Linked DNA regions of Lonchura striata. The protein of the gene in region 2 binds, or shares a complex with, the protein of the main gene of each other region. Links are inferred from orthologs where the notes say so. Each region holds a gene or a part of one and is shown on either strand. Other genes may lie near its edges.

Region 1 (7,967 bases), on a different chromosome or scaffold from region 2:
TGATCTACCTTTTCCACAAGGAAAATAGTAACAAAAGCTACTTAAGTCACTTGAAACTTTGCTACCACTTAAGTAAAAAAGGCCTACGATTAATCAGTTGTAGTTTCAGGAAACAGGGTGTGAAAGGAAGCATTTTAAAACTTTACAGCAACAAATCTGCATTTGTATTTCACTGTGTATAGGTTTCCTCTAGTAAACAGGAAGCAGTTCAAGACTCTTGGCTTCTGGAGCTCTGCAGAGCTCCTTCTTTAGCATGACCCCCCCCAGTGAAAGCCTACACCTACCAACCCCTAACAAGTGAACACCAGAAACCACAGCAAACACCCCCTGGAAAGACTGGCCCAAAACTCCACCTCATGCCTAACCTAAAATGAGCCAACCAATGTCTACAAGATAAAAAGTCTCTTTCTCAAATTCTTACACTGTAACTTGTCACTATAACAAAATCCTCAGAGATGTGTCCCTCTGTGACTTGGGAAGAACAAAATTACTGTTTTTTACAGTGCTGAAACACTTCTGGATACCATAACGATGAAGAACAAGTATCAAACACTGAAGGAACTGAGACTCTACTGTAGAGCAAAGAAACAGTGAGAAAAAATTCCAGAAAACCCATGAGAACAATGCAGGCAGAGCCATCAAAAATGCATGCTGAAAAAGGGAAAACAATAAAAGCAGAAGAGATTCAGTAAGCTGATTTTTTTTCAATGGATGAAACAAAAATAACTTATCAACACAGCTCTCAACTATTTTACTTCATTGTCTTGCAGGAGGTTTACCCCTAGGAAAGGTAACTTTCACCATGGCTTGTGGCCTTACCTAGGACAACAGGAGCTTTCAGGGCTTCAAATAAAAACTAAACAGCAACAACAAAGAAAGAAATCCCACAAAGACAAATTCCTTCATGTTATTTCCAGAAAAATAACTCAATCAATAAATAAATACACTTCAACAGAGCTGGTCAAAGTTTTGCCTCCCTAATTTTAATTATTTCAGATAATTTTAATTATTTCAGGCCTGGCATGGGAGACAAAAGTTATACATACATGTTTCCAACTATCTTTCCTGTAATGATTTCAATGTCTCTTCAAATTGCATATATTATCTTCAAAGTCTGAAGTCCAAAAAGTATTTTTCTAGAAGACACACATATTAATTTCTAGAATGTGAAGTGTTCAGCACCGACAGGCTTCTAAGCAATTTTTTTACCATCAACAATTGCATGTCCTCCTGCTTTTCCTTTTTTCCTGAAAAAATGCAATTACTCTGAGCACAAAACAATTCCTCAGCATCAGCAACCAGAGAAAGTAAAGCCTAGCAATACTTGCCTGCTGTTTTTGATATGCAGTATTTGGATTTATCTTCGATTCTAACAGTAGTGAACCTGAAAAAGGTACGAAGAGAGATTTACTGAATCCAACAAAACAAACATCTCCACACACCTCGCACCAATGCCCACGTGCCAGCCAACAGACTCTCAGCTTAATCCAAATCTCACAGAAAATCCGTAAGAACCACCTCCTTTAAATATAATTTCCTAAAATAAGCCAGATAAGACAAAATTCAACAGGAAGATCCCTATTAAAATACATTTTTCTCTTCTAGTTTATTCCAAAATCCACTGTAGCACTCTTTTCCTTCTGAAATCTGGTGCAAGCACCAGATTTTTTAGTGGTCTTTTAGGCCAACTAATGCAAATTCCAGCAGGTAATGTGCTGCCCAGCATAAAAAATGCTTTTGTCCAGAGAAGCCACATGGGCCACTTGCTTTTATTCCCTTCAGCTGCCCTTCAGAGGTAAATCATCCAGCTACTACAAATGCAGGGACTTCATCTTGTGTATGCAAGTAGTGTATGTCTCCTGGCAACAGCTCTAGAGCAATTTATACTAATCTTAGGTGGTTTATTTAGCACATTAGCACCTGTCTGCTGACAAAGTGGGGAGCATATACCTCCCCGCTCTAAAAAAAGACCCTTTAAGGTGACTTTAAAGTGCAATAAAACACAAGGGATGCCACCCGACTGGAATACAACCAGGGAATTCCTGAGGAGAAAAAGGGCAGCAAAACAACTTCTTCACAGCAGTAAGAAATGGAAGACTAGAACACCTCAAAAGCAAAGGCTATTGCTCTGAAAGAGAACAAAATGTCCTCACATGTCACAGCTTCATCTCTGTTCAGGCTGGGGAGCTGCATGGAGCTGAGTCAGGGAAGGTTTAGGATGGACATCAAGGAAAGGTTCTTCCCCCAGAGGGTGGTCAGGCACTGCCCAGGCACTGCCCAGGCTCCCCAGGAAATGGTCCTGAGGCTGCCAGAGCTGCAGAAGCGCCTGAACAACCCTCTCAGGCACAGGGTGGGATTGTTGGGAGGTCTGTGCAGGGCCAGGAGCTGGACTTTGATGATCCTGATGGGTCCCTTCCAGCTCATAATTCTATCAACTGGGAGGGGAAAAGTCTAGGACCACAGTAGCAAACGCTGCTATGGCTTATGTGGTAAGGAAACTTCACGCGAGCTGCAAGACAAGGGAAGGCACGGAGAGTAGAAATAATAACAACAACAACAGTAATCCTCGTGCGTGATCCAAGGGAAGGCACTATCAGCCGAGCCCGGCGATGGCGGGCGGCAGCCCCGGCGGTGGGGCCCGAGCCGGGCGGGGGGCGAGGGGAAGCGGCCTGGGCAGCCCCGGCCACGCTCTCACCGTCTGACTCGGCGCGCACCAGCAGCGACATCCCCTTCAGCCGCTCCACGTAGCTGGAGGAGACGTGCCCGGTGCCCCTGTCGTCCCATTGCCGATCCTCGTTGAGCGTGTAGACCTTCACCCGCCGGCGGGTGTCCGACATGGTGCAGCCCCGGGCCCGCTCCGCCTCCGCGGGGGCGATGGAGCGAGGGCGGCGGAGAGCAAGCGGGGCCGCCGGGCCGCTCAGAGGCACCGCGGGGCCTTTAACGCGCCGCTTCCCATGGCGAGTCAGCGCCGCCGCGCCCCGGCCCGGGCCTTGCTGGCGCCGCTCCGCCTCGGCAGCTACTACAGCGCCGCCGCCATCTTGTAACCCGGCTCGGGCCGCCTTTCTCTTCCTCCCCGCCCGGGCACGGGTTCCCCTCGCAGGGGCTACGGCGGCCGCGCGCTGCCGCCGCGCCGCCGACGGGACGGCGGCCACGGGGGCGGGGCCGCGCGCGCTCCTTCAGGCGCCGAGGCGGGAACGGGAGGTGGGGATAAAATGGCGGCTGCCGACCGCCGCAGGGGATATGGGCGCATCACTTGCCTTTTAACGCCCTAAAGGGGGAATTGCTCACATATTCCCCCGAAAAAAACTAATTTTTTTAAAAAATTCTTCGTTTTTTTCTTTTTCTTTTTTTTAAGTCTGTCTAAAGGCTGGCGCCACCGCTGACGAAACACGCCTCCGTCCCTCACGCCACAGAAAGTGCCACCCACGGCCGTCACACAAAATGACGGGCGCGCTCCATACCCGACCAGGGTAAATTTAAACAGCACACAGAACTGAAACAGTTTCAATTTTTAGGAACAAAAGGTGTCCCCTGCATCACAAAACGGCAAAAAGTTAGTGAGCAGCAACTCCTTACAGCAGCAGCCATACTGTAACACGCTGTCTGTGCCTGCTTGGTACATCTCCACAGAAGGCTTGAAAGCTAAACTGCTGGGGAATCTTCAAAAATGAGAGAAACGTGCTTAATTAGCTCTTATACACAGCATACAGTTTAACACAGACCACTTGCCAAGCATCGCGGAGTCCGTACCTGTTAAGTTTTTCACACTAAAAACCATCTACACGTTTCCTCTGTACAACAAATAAATAATTACATCTCCGTGCTTGCGTGGGAATAAGGAAAAACGACCCAAAAGTTTTCAAGGAGTAAAGCTGTGTGAAACAGTGAGAAACTGGGGACAAGGGGAAGCTTGAGTGTGTCTCCAAACCAAATTCTTGAAGCTCTGAAGAGGAAGGAGGGAGGACAAGTTCTCCTGAGGGCAGGGTGTGCCTCATTCCCAGACAAAGTCAGACTTTCCTGGCTCTTGCCTCACGGTGAAAGCAGTTACACCGGTATGGCCCTTATTCACACGACTGGCATTTCTATGCTCTCAAATTCAAATGTGGCTCCAAAGCAAGCGAAAGAAAGTGCTTCCCAAACTATGTCCTCAAAGTAACTACCTGCAGCTTTTCCAAACATTCTCTGGGCAGATTAAAAAAACTTAACATCTAAGTAACATTCAAGTCTCAGCTTTTGCTCTGATGTTCATTGTAGCAGTCACCAAGAAAATACAAGATACAACTCTTAGAATTTTAATATACATTTATGTTTAGCTGTATAGGAGCACACCTTGGGACATGTGCATCATTATGGGTAAGTGAGTCAGTAACTATAAAAAGACCGTGTTAAGTGGTTTCAAAATCCTGGACTGAGAGTCACATGAACCAGTTTACAGTCAGGTTCCACACAAGCCTTCCTCACAAGGCATTACAAACTGAGCATATTTCTACCTTGGAGAAAGCTCAATAAAAAGCAAACACACAAATAGGAACACAAACCCCAATGACCACAACATATTTCTGCCTCAGGACATCTGCTGCTCATGAACTCCCTCTCCCCTCTGCATGACTTCTGTGCGTGCTTTTTGGCTCTTCAAATCAAATGCACAAAAATAAAAGCATGACTCCTACTAATGACTAAATGCAGCACTTCTCGGGATATATAAAACAGCAAGAAACCACAGCATAGTATTTTGGAGCAAATTCTTATGGTGAATTACAGAAAGGAGGTATGCGCATCAGAACTAGCATGAAAAACTATTTCTTACACTTCAGCTGTGAAATAAATCTATGATCTCTCCAGGCATGAATTCAATGACTTCTGTGGAAAATATCACTCCAGAAGTCATTGGGATTGTGCTCACTCAGATGTGGGGCTTCTCTCTACCCAAAACAGCATCCAGGGGGTTGTAAAGCCCAGGATGACCCTGCCATTGGTACCCAGAACCAGCAAGTCAATTCTGGGGGCCTTTCCTGGACAAAACATGCAATACTTGCCCCAACAAATGTTACATACTGCATTTAAACCCAGGCTAAGACCAGGAAAGCATCCAAGCCTCTGCTCTTTAAGACAAAGCAAAGCAACATTTTCCACAGTGCACCTGCCAGCAGCTCATCATCCCCATTACCACCATCAAGTTATCAATGCTGAGAATTCTCTGTTCTTCATCAAAGCAAAGGATTTCGTTAGGGTGGACAGAAGACAGAGCAACTCACAAGTGTCACTACATGAGCTGTGGAATGCCTTTTTTTGTTTTCCCAAGCAAGATGGGCAATTAATTCCTAAATAATTTAAAATTTCTTAGAGTGAAATTAAGAGACTGTATCATTCCCTCTGGCAGGTGATCCCAGAAGTACAATTAGGCCAGCTCTTACACTTTTATGATAGTACTTGTAATATATATTGTTGACATTTGAAGACACACCAGCTCCTGACTCTTTGCACTTGCACGAAAATTTCAGACTTGTCAAATAAAAGGCATTTCTGGCCCTCCTGAGCTGTTGCAATGCTGCACCTGCCCAGCTTCTCTCCAAGGCAATTTCTCTCAATGGCTCCATTTAAGACAGGTCATTACAGAAGCTAATTATGTTGAGCAGTAAGAAAGAAGAAATAAATCACTGAGCTTGTTCTCTTGAGCACTCTGGACTCACCTGGTTTCTGATCATAGCTGATCCCACCTGAGAGTCAAGCTCCTCCTGCCACGGCCCTGCACCGGCTCTAGGAGAGCCTGGGATGTCCTTCCCTCCAGGAAGGGTCAGAGCAGCACACGCTTACTCAACTCTTGGCTGCCATTGAGCTTCTCTCCTCAGGTAAGAGCAGCTGCTTTCTGCTCCTCCCAGCCAGCTCCCAAGTGTGCTCTTCCCCCGCCCCTTCCCACAGGGCCTAAAGCTGGTTCCAGATGCAGAAAGTCAGGCTGACTGTACAGGTTCTGCCACAGCAACATTAAGGTAATTTTGCTCCTTTATCATCATCCACCAAACAGACAATGCCCCAGCACTGCAGTAGCTGCTTTACTGAGACCAGCTCCACAACACAGCCTCTCAGAAATTAGTCTACAATAAGGGGAGATAAACCTTGGAAATCCACTTAGATTGGGGAGGTCCATTTCTGGGAAGAGTCACCAGAAATGGCAACATCTGAGTTTCTGTTCAGGGACTTTAACATTGACCTACATAATTTTATTAACACTATTCATATGTAACAATCATGTATCAGTCAACTGTCACAGTAAGAAGTGACATCTGAATTCTTACTAAGAAATAATAAGACACAGCCTTCAAAGAGGAAGAAAAGATTGCCAAAGAAATCTTTCGTCAATCTTTCCAAACTTTTTCTATTTTTCAATCTTACATCATGAAAGACAGGAACAACTACAGAGCAGCATACCAGTAATTTCTTTCTTTAATATTTAAGTTAGAATTAAAAAAGGAGTAATTTTTTACTGTACATTCCCACTTCTCTCCCCCATGCTTTATTTTTTCTTTCAGGTGGTTCAGAGCCCACCTGCCACCAGGTGGGAAGTTGATTTTATTAGTCCTGCATACAAATTGGTGAACATCAGAAGGACCCTGTTTGATTTTCAAAGTCTGTACCTCACAGTAGAAAAACGAGTCACTCTCATGAGCCCCTGGGAAATGTTTTGAAGTCTAAAATAAATCAGTGAACTCACTGATGCAATGTAATTAATAGGACTAAGAAATTCTTAATGAGAGTGTTTCAGGGAAAGATTTATCACATAATTGTTCATTCCAAAAAAAGTATTTTAATTTTAATGTTTTAATTATGCATTTTAAAAGTCAGTGCTAATGAACCCAGGTGATAAGGGGTGATGTTTCAGCCAAGTTCTGCTCACATATGCTGAGATATATTCTGCTACAGGTCTGAACATTTTAAGAGTGATGTATTAATCTAAAACAGAGTCCATCATGTTAAAGGTGACACTTCTAAGTCTTTATGACTTGCTCAACATTCTTGTGCACTGAAAAGCCAATAAAACTTTGGCCAAGTGTGACTCTTGACCAAGCATACAGGATAATTCTTTCTCCCACAGAAGAGTTGTTCAGTTCTTACTTCTCATATTCACAGTTTTGAGTGGATAACTCAAAGGAGAATAACCTTTAGCACTGAAATATCTTCTCAGTCTACAGAATTCCATGTTCTTGTATTCTCATCTCAACCTTGCTACACAAGATGAGGGCACTGCTTGCTCCTGGTTTTATTTTCAAGTTTTTAATCAACTTGAAGGCCTTGACGTTCTACATCACCTTTAAGCATAAATAAGTATCTATTTTATAAATATGATTTACTACCATCCACCTTCAGATTCTTGTGAGGACATGTAGAAATTCTAGCAAAGGTCACTTGTATTTTCACCATCACACCTTTTTTCCTGAAAGAAAGAAAACACTTTGTAACCAATTCATTATATCAAGGTATGAGATTCAAAGATGTTCCTTAAAACTGAGATTCAGTGAATTTTCCCTTCTTTTTGTGCTGTCAATCATTCCTAGAAGGTTGCCACAGATTGCCTTGAGTTCCTACTGGTGCACTGTGCATTTGCCAAGCTTGCTAACTGCTCCTGATTTTAACATCAGACACCTTCCTGTTCTAGCAGCTTTCCAAGAACAAGAAAACTCACATAAATTTTGGGAAAAGCTGAGGCATAAGCCCTCTAACAGTCAAATACATGCTGGAAAACTACTTCTAAGGAAGAGCTTTGGCCATTTCATTAATTGACTGAAATCTTCTCTACTGTTGACTTAATCAGGAAAGCAACTTATTTTTTCTTCTCTTCCAATGCCCTCTTTGGGCTTTTTTCTTTAAAAGGTAGAGAAAAAGGATCTTGGAATTGAATAAGTAAGTTTGTTTAGGACAGAGAAGCCTGTCCAGATTGCCAGAGACCATCAAGGCATTTGAACCAATTTTAT
Region 2 (7,250 bases):
ATTAAAAAGCTGACAGAACTCCTATGAAGACCATGTAACTCTCCTAGAACTAACAACTGAACACAAAAATATTTCACATTTCACTTGTCCTGATTTGCCTCAGTACTTTTTGTTTGTTACATTAGGAACAGGCTGTGACTGAGTAAGATCATTGTTCAATAATCAAGTCTGCAAACCATGGGTGTAATTACCCCTGACTAAACCATCATCCCTGCTTGTTTTGTTTTTTTTAACTATACTCTGACTTTGTAAAAATCCTAACAAATGTCACTACAAACGAGTATTTTATTTTCTCACTCCAAAGTATCTATTTATTACTGGCTTAGATTCTATTCAACAAAGTTGTTTTTACATAAGTCAAAATAAAGATTATCTAGTGCATTTTAAATTTGCATGTATTTGGTAGGTTTGCCTATTCCAGAACACTTGTACTTGTCAAGCTGTACCAGCTTAAAAATACATTAAGCTCTTAAAAGGCACGTTAGTAATCTTCATATGAGTGATTTCCAGGAGATTTTAATTTTTACTCACTTTTCCCCCTGATATTGTGATACATAACACATCAGTCTGATGAACACATGTCTGATGACCAAATACTGACTCTGGCAGATAATCTGAAGCAAATACAGTATTATAAAACAGTATTTCCATGCCTATCTCCAGATTATATTAGGCATTTCTGATGTTCACATCCAACACCTTTTAAAAAAACTATATAAAAAAAAAAAATTGCAAGAAAACCCTGGAAACACAGAAGGCAGGATCTGTATATCAGATTACAGACTCCAGCTGAGGTTTAAGTTTGTAAAAATAAAATAAAAATAATAAAAATAAACCTAGATTTCCTAAATGAAAATAAAATCAGAAAGGATACAATTTTCCCAATAATTTGGCCCTATAGAATCACTTTTTAAAAAATACTTTGGAATATACATGATAATGGCAGAAACAGTAAAAACAACCTGAAGAAATACCTCAGAATGGGAAAAAATATTTTAAACATATTTTAGTATGGGCTTACTGTGGTGTATTTTTTCTGTATAATAAGTACTACACCAAAACATGAAGCATTACAGCTGTGTATGTCTGCTGAGCATGAGCCTTCTATTCAAAGAGCAAAGTACATTTCAGAACTTGTTTTTCTTTCTAAACCATTAATCCAAGCAGCACTAGCAAGCTACCAAAAAAAAAAAAATCACCAGAACCTCTAATAAGTTGGCGGGACTCTCGAAACTCAAACAAAGCCCCTGCGGGTCGGTGGTTGATCACAAAACACTCGTAAAAGCATATCTCCCTGCTGGAGCCGTAGTCTGGCACTAGGCCTCAAAAACAAGGAGACAGCCCGGGCGCCAGAAAGTGAGCACGAATCCGGCAGCGCAGCCGGGAAGCCTTTCCCCTTCCTGCCAGATAGTGAGCCGCAAGGAAGTCACCAGCAGCGAGCCCCGCAAGGAGCGCGGCTCCCTCCGCTGCCTCCCGGGAAAGCTCCGGGAAAGCGGCCGCAAAGGGCGGCACGAGGGAAATTCCCTCCGCACCAGGGAAAAACACGGCGCTCCCCGCGGTTCCCACACATCCCCGTCCGCAAAAGCGCCTCCGGATCGTCCCCGCTTCAGCAGCAGCGCCCAGACAGTCACAGGATGGTTACAGAGCCCAGAAAGAAACAATGTGAGCGACTGCAATCTTTATGTAAATAACACAATGTAGATACTGCAAACACAGTTATACAACAGTGTATAGAAAACATTGCAACAGCAGCTTAACTTGTAACATACAAAACCTGAATCTCTCTCAAAAATCCAGGGAAAGCAACAGGTTTTTTATTGTGCTGAGTAGGATCAGTAAGACCTGACAGGCACATCAGAGCAAAGCCTATACGAGAAGTCTCCCCTCGTTAGATCAAACTATCAGCAAACTAAATTAATCAATACAAAATTAAATGGGAACTGAGGAAAGCTTATTTAGCCCACTGAAGCAACCTACAGGCAAAAAAAAGAATCCTGGTAGAATCTCAATGACGTAAAATGCAAGAATTGTTTTAAGTCACGACTGAGGACCACCAAAACAGTCACACTTACATCGTCTCTCCAGTCTTAGCAACATGACAAAGAAACTGATCCAGTATTGGACACACTTCCTTCTTTCCTCTCTTCTCAAAATCTGTTGGCATGAGAACGACACAAAAAGAATGGTAAATGAAGATGGGACAGAACAAAAATTCACAATAATTAGCGATTTGCTTGAACTATCAGTACAGCTCCCACAAAAACACTGTTGTGCTCTCACAATGCCCCGGCTGTTCCCATGAACTCCACCAGCTCCTCAGCCCTGGGAAACACTTATTATTTTTCCTGCGGAGAAACCGCACGCAGCAGAGTAGCAAAAGTTGATTTGCAACTTCTTCCGAGCAGCTACGGCACAGAAAGAGAGCGATTTGCTCAAGCTGAGCCCAGAAGAGAGAGGGCTGCGGAGGGAGAAGGGGACAGGTCCGGGCTGGGCCGGGATGCGGGGGAAGGGGCCGGGATGCGGGGGAAGGGGCAGGAATGAGGGAGAAGGGGCGGCCGGACCGGGGTGTCCAGGGCGGCAGCCGGGCAGAGCCGAGAGTCGCTGATCCCCCTCACGCAGCCCCGAGGGTCGCTGGGCAGGGAGACCGCGGGCTCTGCCCTCCACTTCCCCACGACTCCTGGCCTCTCCCCACTCTGCGGGACCCCTCACAGCGAGCAGCTCCCTCCCCACAGCGCGGGGACCCTTCGCCCTCAGCGAGGGGCGCTCCCCCCACAGGCTCTGAGGAACCTCAGCCTTCCCCTCAGCGCGGCGACACCGCTCCCCCAGCCCCCGCCACCAGCCTGGCCGCCACCTTTCAGCGCCTCCTGCAGCCTCTCGACGTCCATGGTCCGCCCGGGCGATTCCCCCGCGGCTCGGCGCGGCTCCCCCGCCCCAGTCCCGCGCAGACCGGGTCGCGCTCTCAGCAGCACCCCGCGCTCAGCGACGCTCCAACATGGCGCCCGCGCCGTGCCCGTGCGCGGCCCCGCGGCCCCGCCCGCCGGGGGCGGAGCCAATGGGCGGAGACAATGGGCGGAGCCTCGGGGCGGAGCCAATGGGCGGGGCGCGTGGGCGGGGCGGGGCCAATGGGCGGGGCCGGCGGCCGTGAGGGAGCGGCGGGAACGGCGGCGGGAAAAGCGGCGGGAAGGGCTCGGGCGGGCTGAGGGCGGCTCGCGGCTGGCTTGCCGGCCGCGGGTGATCGTCCTCCTCATGCCGGCCCTGCCCTGCGGATCCTCGCGGCAGGCCACGCGGAGCCGTTTCCCCTTCACGCGCCGGCCCCTCAGAGAGCTCTCGTGCTTTCCTCCTCGCTTTCTGACTGAGGGTGACCGCGCTCCTCCTGCCCTCCCCAAGTCCCTGTTTGTGCAAGGACGTGCCTTTTTAACCTCAAGGAGATCACAGAAGATCCCCAGTTGGAACGGGTCCACCATGCAGTGCAGCTCCTGGCCGCGCACACACCCCAACAATCCCACCCTGAGCATTGTCCAAGCGCTCCTGGAGCTCTGGAAGCCTTGGGGCTGGGACCATGCCCTGGGGAGCCTGGGCAGTGCCCCACCACAGTCTTGGGACACGAATCTTTTCTTAATATCCCACCCAAACCTCCCCGACAGCTTCATGCCATTCCCTCGAGTCTTGTCACTGGTCACGAGAGTGAAGAAAGAGATGGGGACCGGTCCCCTCTGCTCCCAAACACGAGGATGTTGCACATCCCAGTGAGGTCTCCGCTCACTCTCCTCCTTCCCACATATTCCCTGTGCTCCTGGGGATGGATGATCCCCTCGCCCATCCTGTGCCAGCTCTTGGCTCTGAGGATGCAAAGCCCTGGCAGAGGAAAGAGCTGTCACTCCTTCTGGCAAAGAGCAGATAAAAGGTTCTATCCCAACCCCTCTACTACCTAGGAAAGAGTTCAGCTCACAGCAAATGACATTTTCCTTCCATTTTCAAAGCTGAAACATTTAAAAGTAATCCTAGGACACAAAAAGCTTGTAGGTAGTTTCATCATCGGTTTGTTGTGTGATCTCAGGCAAACGGGTGAGGCAATCACACCTGAGCTTCTTCATTAATGAAACAAATTATAATTACTCCTTGTAAGGTATTTGACACACCTTGTAATAAAAATGTACACAAAGAGGATGATTTCATTTTGTGTCAGTTCCCAGCCTGTTTGTGGAGTATTCACTGAGACCCAAGAATAAGAATAATAACCTTGTTGGGGAAGATGTGGTGGTTTAAACATCTAGGTAAAGACAATGAGAAGCTGTTTTACAATCCAGGTTGTTTTTTTTGGTTTTTTTGTTTGTTTCTTCCACTGAATTTACACTAAGCCTCATTAAGATTTATGCTTCAGATTTAAAAACATACTTTTTGAGAGTTATAGGCTGTTCAACCCTTGGGCATGAATCAATAATTAAAATTATTTGTGGTGTAAGACCAGCAGCTACTTCTGCTCTGAGTAATGAAGCTTAGATTAGGTATCTAGAGATCCCTGACCCGACTTGACTTAAAGCAGTTTCCCTTCACTGAAGTGTGACAGCAATTTGTAAGGTATTTCCACCCAGTTTGAACCAAAATTGATTGCTGTGCTTTGAAACAATCTGTAGCAATTCAATTCAGCATTCAAGCAAGGGAGATGCAGCAGAATCCACTGAGAACAATAAGAAAATGACAACAATATTATATTTCAAGACCCACTTAGGTCTTCAGAAAATATTGTACATCAATACACATCAAAGGGAGCATAGAGGTTTTGTTTGGTTTGTTTAAATTTATAGCTGCAGAACATGAGTATGGTACAATAACTTGACACTAAAAATCATGGATCTCTGAAACATCCAGAGAAGGAAAGTTTTGGGTTTTTTTCTTTAAAGTATATCACAGCCACCTCGAGACAAATTATGTTTCTCCTCTGAGACAATGACTAAACATCTTTATTGTGCTTTTAAAAAATCAGAAGACTTGGGAGTATCAAAAGATGAGAACAGCTCACACAGAGTGCTTTAAAAAAAGAGGCTGAAAAGAGAAAAATGGTATTTGTGGGAGTTGTTTCTTTGAAAGATTACCCAGAGGAGACACAAATACCCAAGGAATAGTCAGATGTGACAAACATTCCAGGCTTTACCTGGCTCAGCCACTGGTCCCAGCAGGACCCCAGGGATTGTCTCCTATTAATCCAAGAGCCTGTGGCAAACTGGCTGGCCAAGTTTTCTTTCCAAGCTGTATTTCACCCCCTCCTCCCAGGATATCCCTGGGACAGGAGATTCCTGACATCACGCCACAAACTTTGGGATCAGTCAGACTAAAACCAGCCTTGTTTTCGCACCTGGAGCCTCAGGTGTGAGGAACCACGGTGCCCTTTGGAAGTGCTGAGCAGAATGGGAAGGAGATCTTTCCCTGAAGGTGTGAACCCCAAGAAGGTGTGAACCTGTTGTGCACAGTTCTAACCCTCACAAGAGGGAATTAACATTTTCAGGGGGATTCGGAAGAGATGCTTCTACAAGAACAGGTCTTTAAAATAAAGAGCCATGTCATTTCTGTGCCATTATTTCAGTATTAATTACCAATTAATACTGAAAGAATTAATACAAATTAATACTGAAATTACTACACTTTTGGGCTATAGTGCAGTTTTCACAAAGTAACAGCAACAATTAAGGTACGTTTACAGAAATGTGAAAGTCAAACCAAAATATTTCACCTCAAAACAAAACATTAACAAAGTGCTTTGTTCTTCTTCCATGCTGATTCTCAATTTGGTGTTTTGTCTCCATTTTCATTTCAAAGGAAGTGTTGACAGTTTGGTTTTTATTCTGATCCAGAATGAAAGCAAAACTTCCAAACATCACTCTTTCTTTTGAAGCTCAGATAACAATTCCTTATCTCGTGCCAGCGGGAGGTGCAGGCTGATCCCAGCACTTGTCCCAAGAGCAGTGGGGAATGTTTCCCTGAAGGGACTATCCTGGTGACTGCCCCATCCCATCTCACCTCTGGAGGGTGCTCACTCTTTATTTACCACCATCACATTTTATTGTACCTGATGGAGAGGAGAAAAGGATTCTCTGACAGTTGAGAAAGTGTCAAGATTTATTTCTTTCAGTTAGTTGTACTTTATTCCCAGCTTGGGAAATCTCTCTTCTCCCCACAGCAATACTGGCTGGAGCCAACTTTGCCAAGTGAAAAAGCCTGGATCTGAGCAGTGTGACTGTGAGTGTGTAACACTCCCCACACACCCAGAGCCTTCCCAGAACCCACACAAGGCTGGTGTTTTACAGCTGGCCCACCTCTGCCCATCCATTCTTGATTTCAGAGAGCTGAGCCCAACACAGCACCCAGCTGGGACCAGTGTCAGCAGCAGGATTTGGGAACAGACAGCCCAGGAGCTTCTGTCACACAGGGGTGTCACAAGCAAGGGCAGCACAGCAGTGACCATACAAGAACGTCAAAAAAATGCATACAAGAAGGGAAGGGAAATGATACTAAATTACCTCCAAGGAGTGAAACATTATGGAGAAACAGTAAAGAGTAAAAGATAAAACTCCAGTTTCCTCTGAGAGAAGTATGCTGATCTGATCTATGCTCGCTGTAACACAGCTGGAGCTGCAGCATGACACACGAGCACTTTGGGGAAAGTTAAATGCATTTGTCTCTTTATATCCAATATCAGACTCTCTCACTACAGTAAAACTGTAAAAGAGCAACATTTATCTGTGTTCCCTGCTGTCAAACCCAGTATACACACACTAAAACATCACACCTACAAAACTCTACCCCAACCAGACCAGCACAAAATCTTGCATTTAAAAGAAAACTAGCAAATTATAGAGCTTGCTTAAAATTTCATTTATTTGTACTGTAAGCCAAGGGATCATCCTCAACTCAGAAATGCACTGCTCAGCCTCCTTGGGAGCTGTAACAATCAGTGCACTTGTCAAAGAAAAGTCCACAAGCAATTCAGTGACAGAGAAAAGGGACATTTTTTACAGACATGCTTGTGCTGTGCGCACACACACACACACTGAGCAGTTTCCAGTTTCCCCTGTAAGCAAAATGCTGGTGAGCTCTATCCATTATACCATTGGAAATAACTAAAACACAGGAGAGGAAGGGGAAATGAGGACATAAAGTCTTTGTAAGTATTTACACATCCCATTATTAAGATAAATGAAAGCTAATTAACAAGGAATTAGCCACAAGTATGAAGTACAAAATGAATTAAGATT

Evidence for each region.
Region 1: PPP4R2 (region 2) and PPP4R3B share a complex: the UniProt entries of both Homo sapiens proteins name them as parts of the PP4 complex. The link is inferred for Lonchura striata from reciprocal best matches to the Homo sapiens genes PPP4R2 and PPP4R3B.

Annotation. Positions count from the first base shown.
Region 1 is NC_134605.1:27,036,696-27,044,662, reverse strand, and holds the start of PPP4R3B (serine/threonine-protein phosphatase 4 regulatory subunit 3B), read right to left. Parts: upstream 3,086-7,967; 5' UTR 2,838-3,085; coding exon 2,696-2,837; intron 1,385-2,695; coding exon 1,329-1,384; intron 1-1,328. UniProt on the Homo sapiens protein: Regulatory subunit of serine/threonine-protein phosphatase 4 (PP4). May regulate the activity of PPP4C at centrosomal microtubule organizing centers.
Region 2 is NC_134614.1:20,820,710-20,827,959, reverse strand, and holds the start of PPP4R2 (serine/threonine-protein phosphatase 4 regulatory subunit 2), read right to left. Parts: upstream 3,030-7,250; 5' UTR 2,886-3,029; coding exon 2,852-2,885; intron 2,155-2,851; coding exon 2,073-2,154; intron 1-2,072. UniProt on the Homo sapiens protein: Regulatory subunit of serine/threonine-protein phosphatase 4 (PP4). May regulate the activity of PPP4C at centrosomal microtubule organizing centers.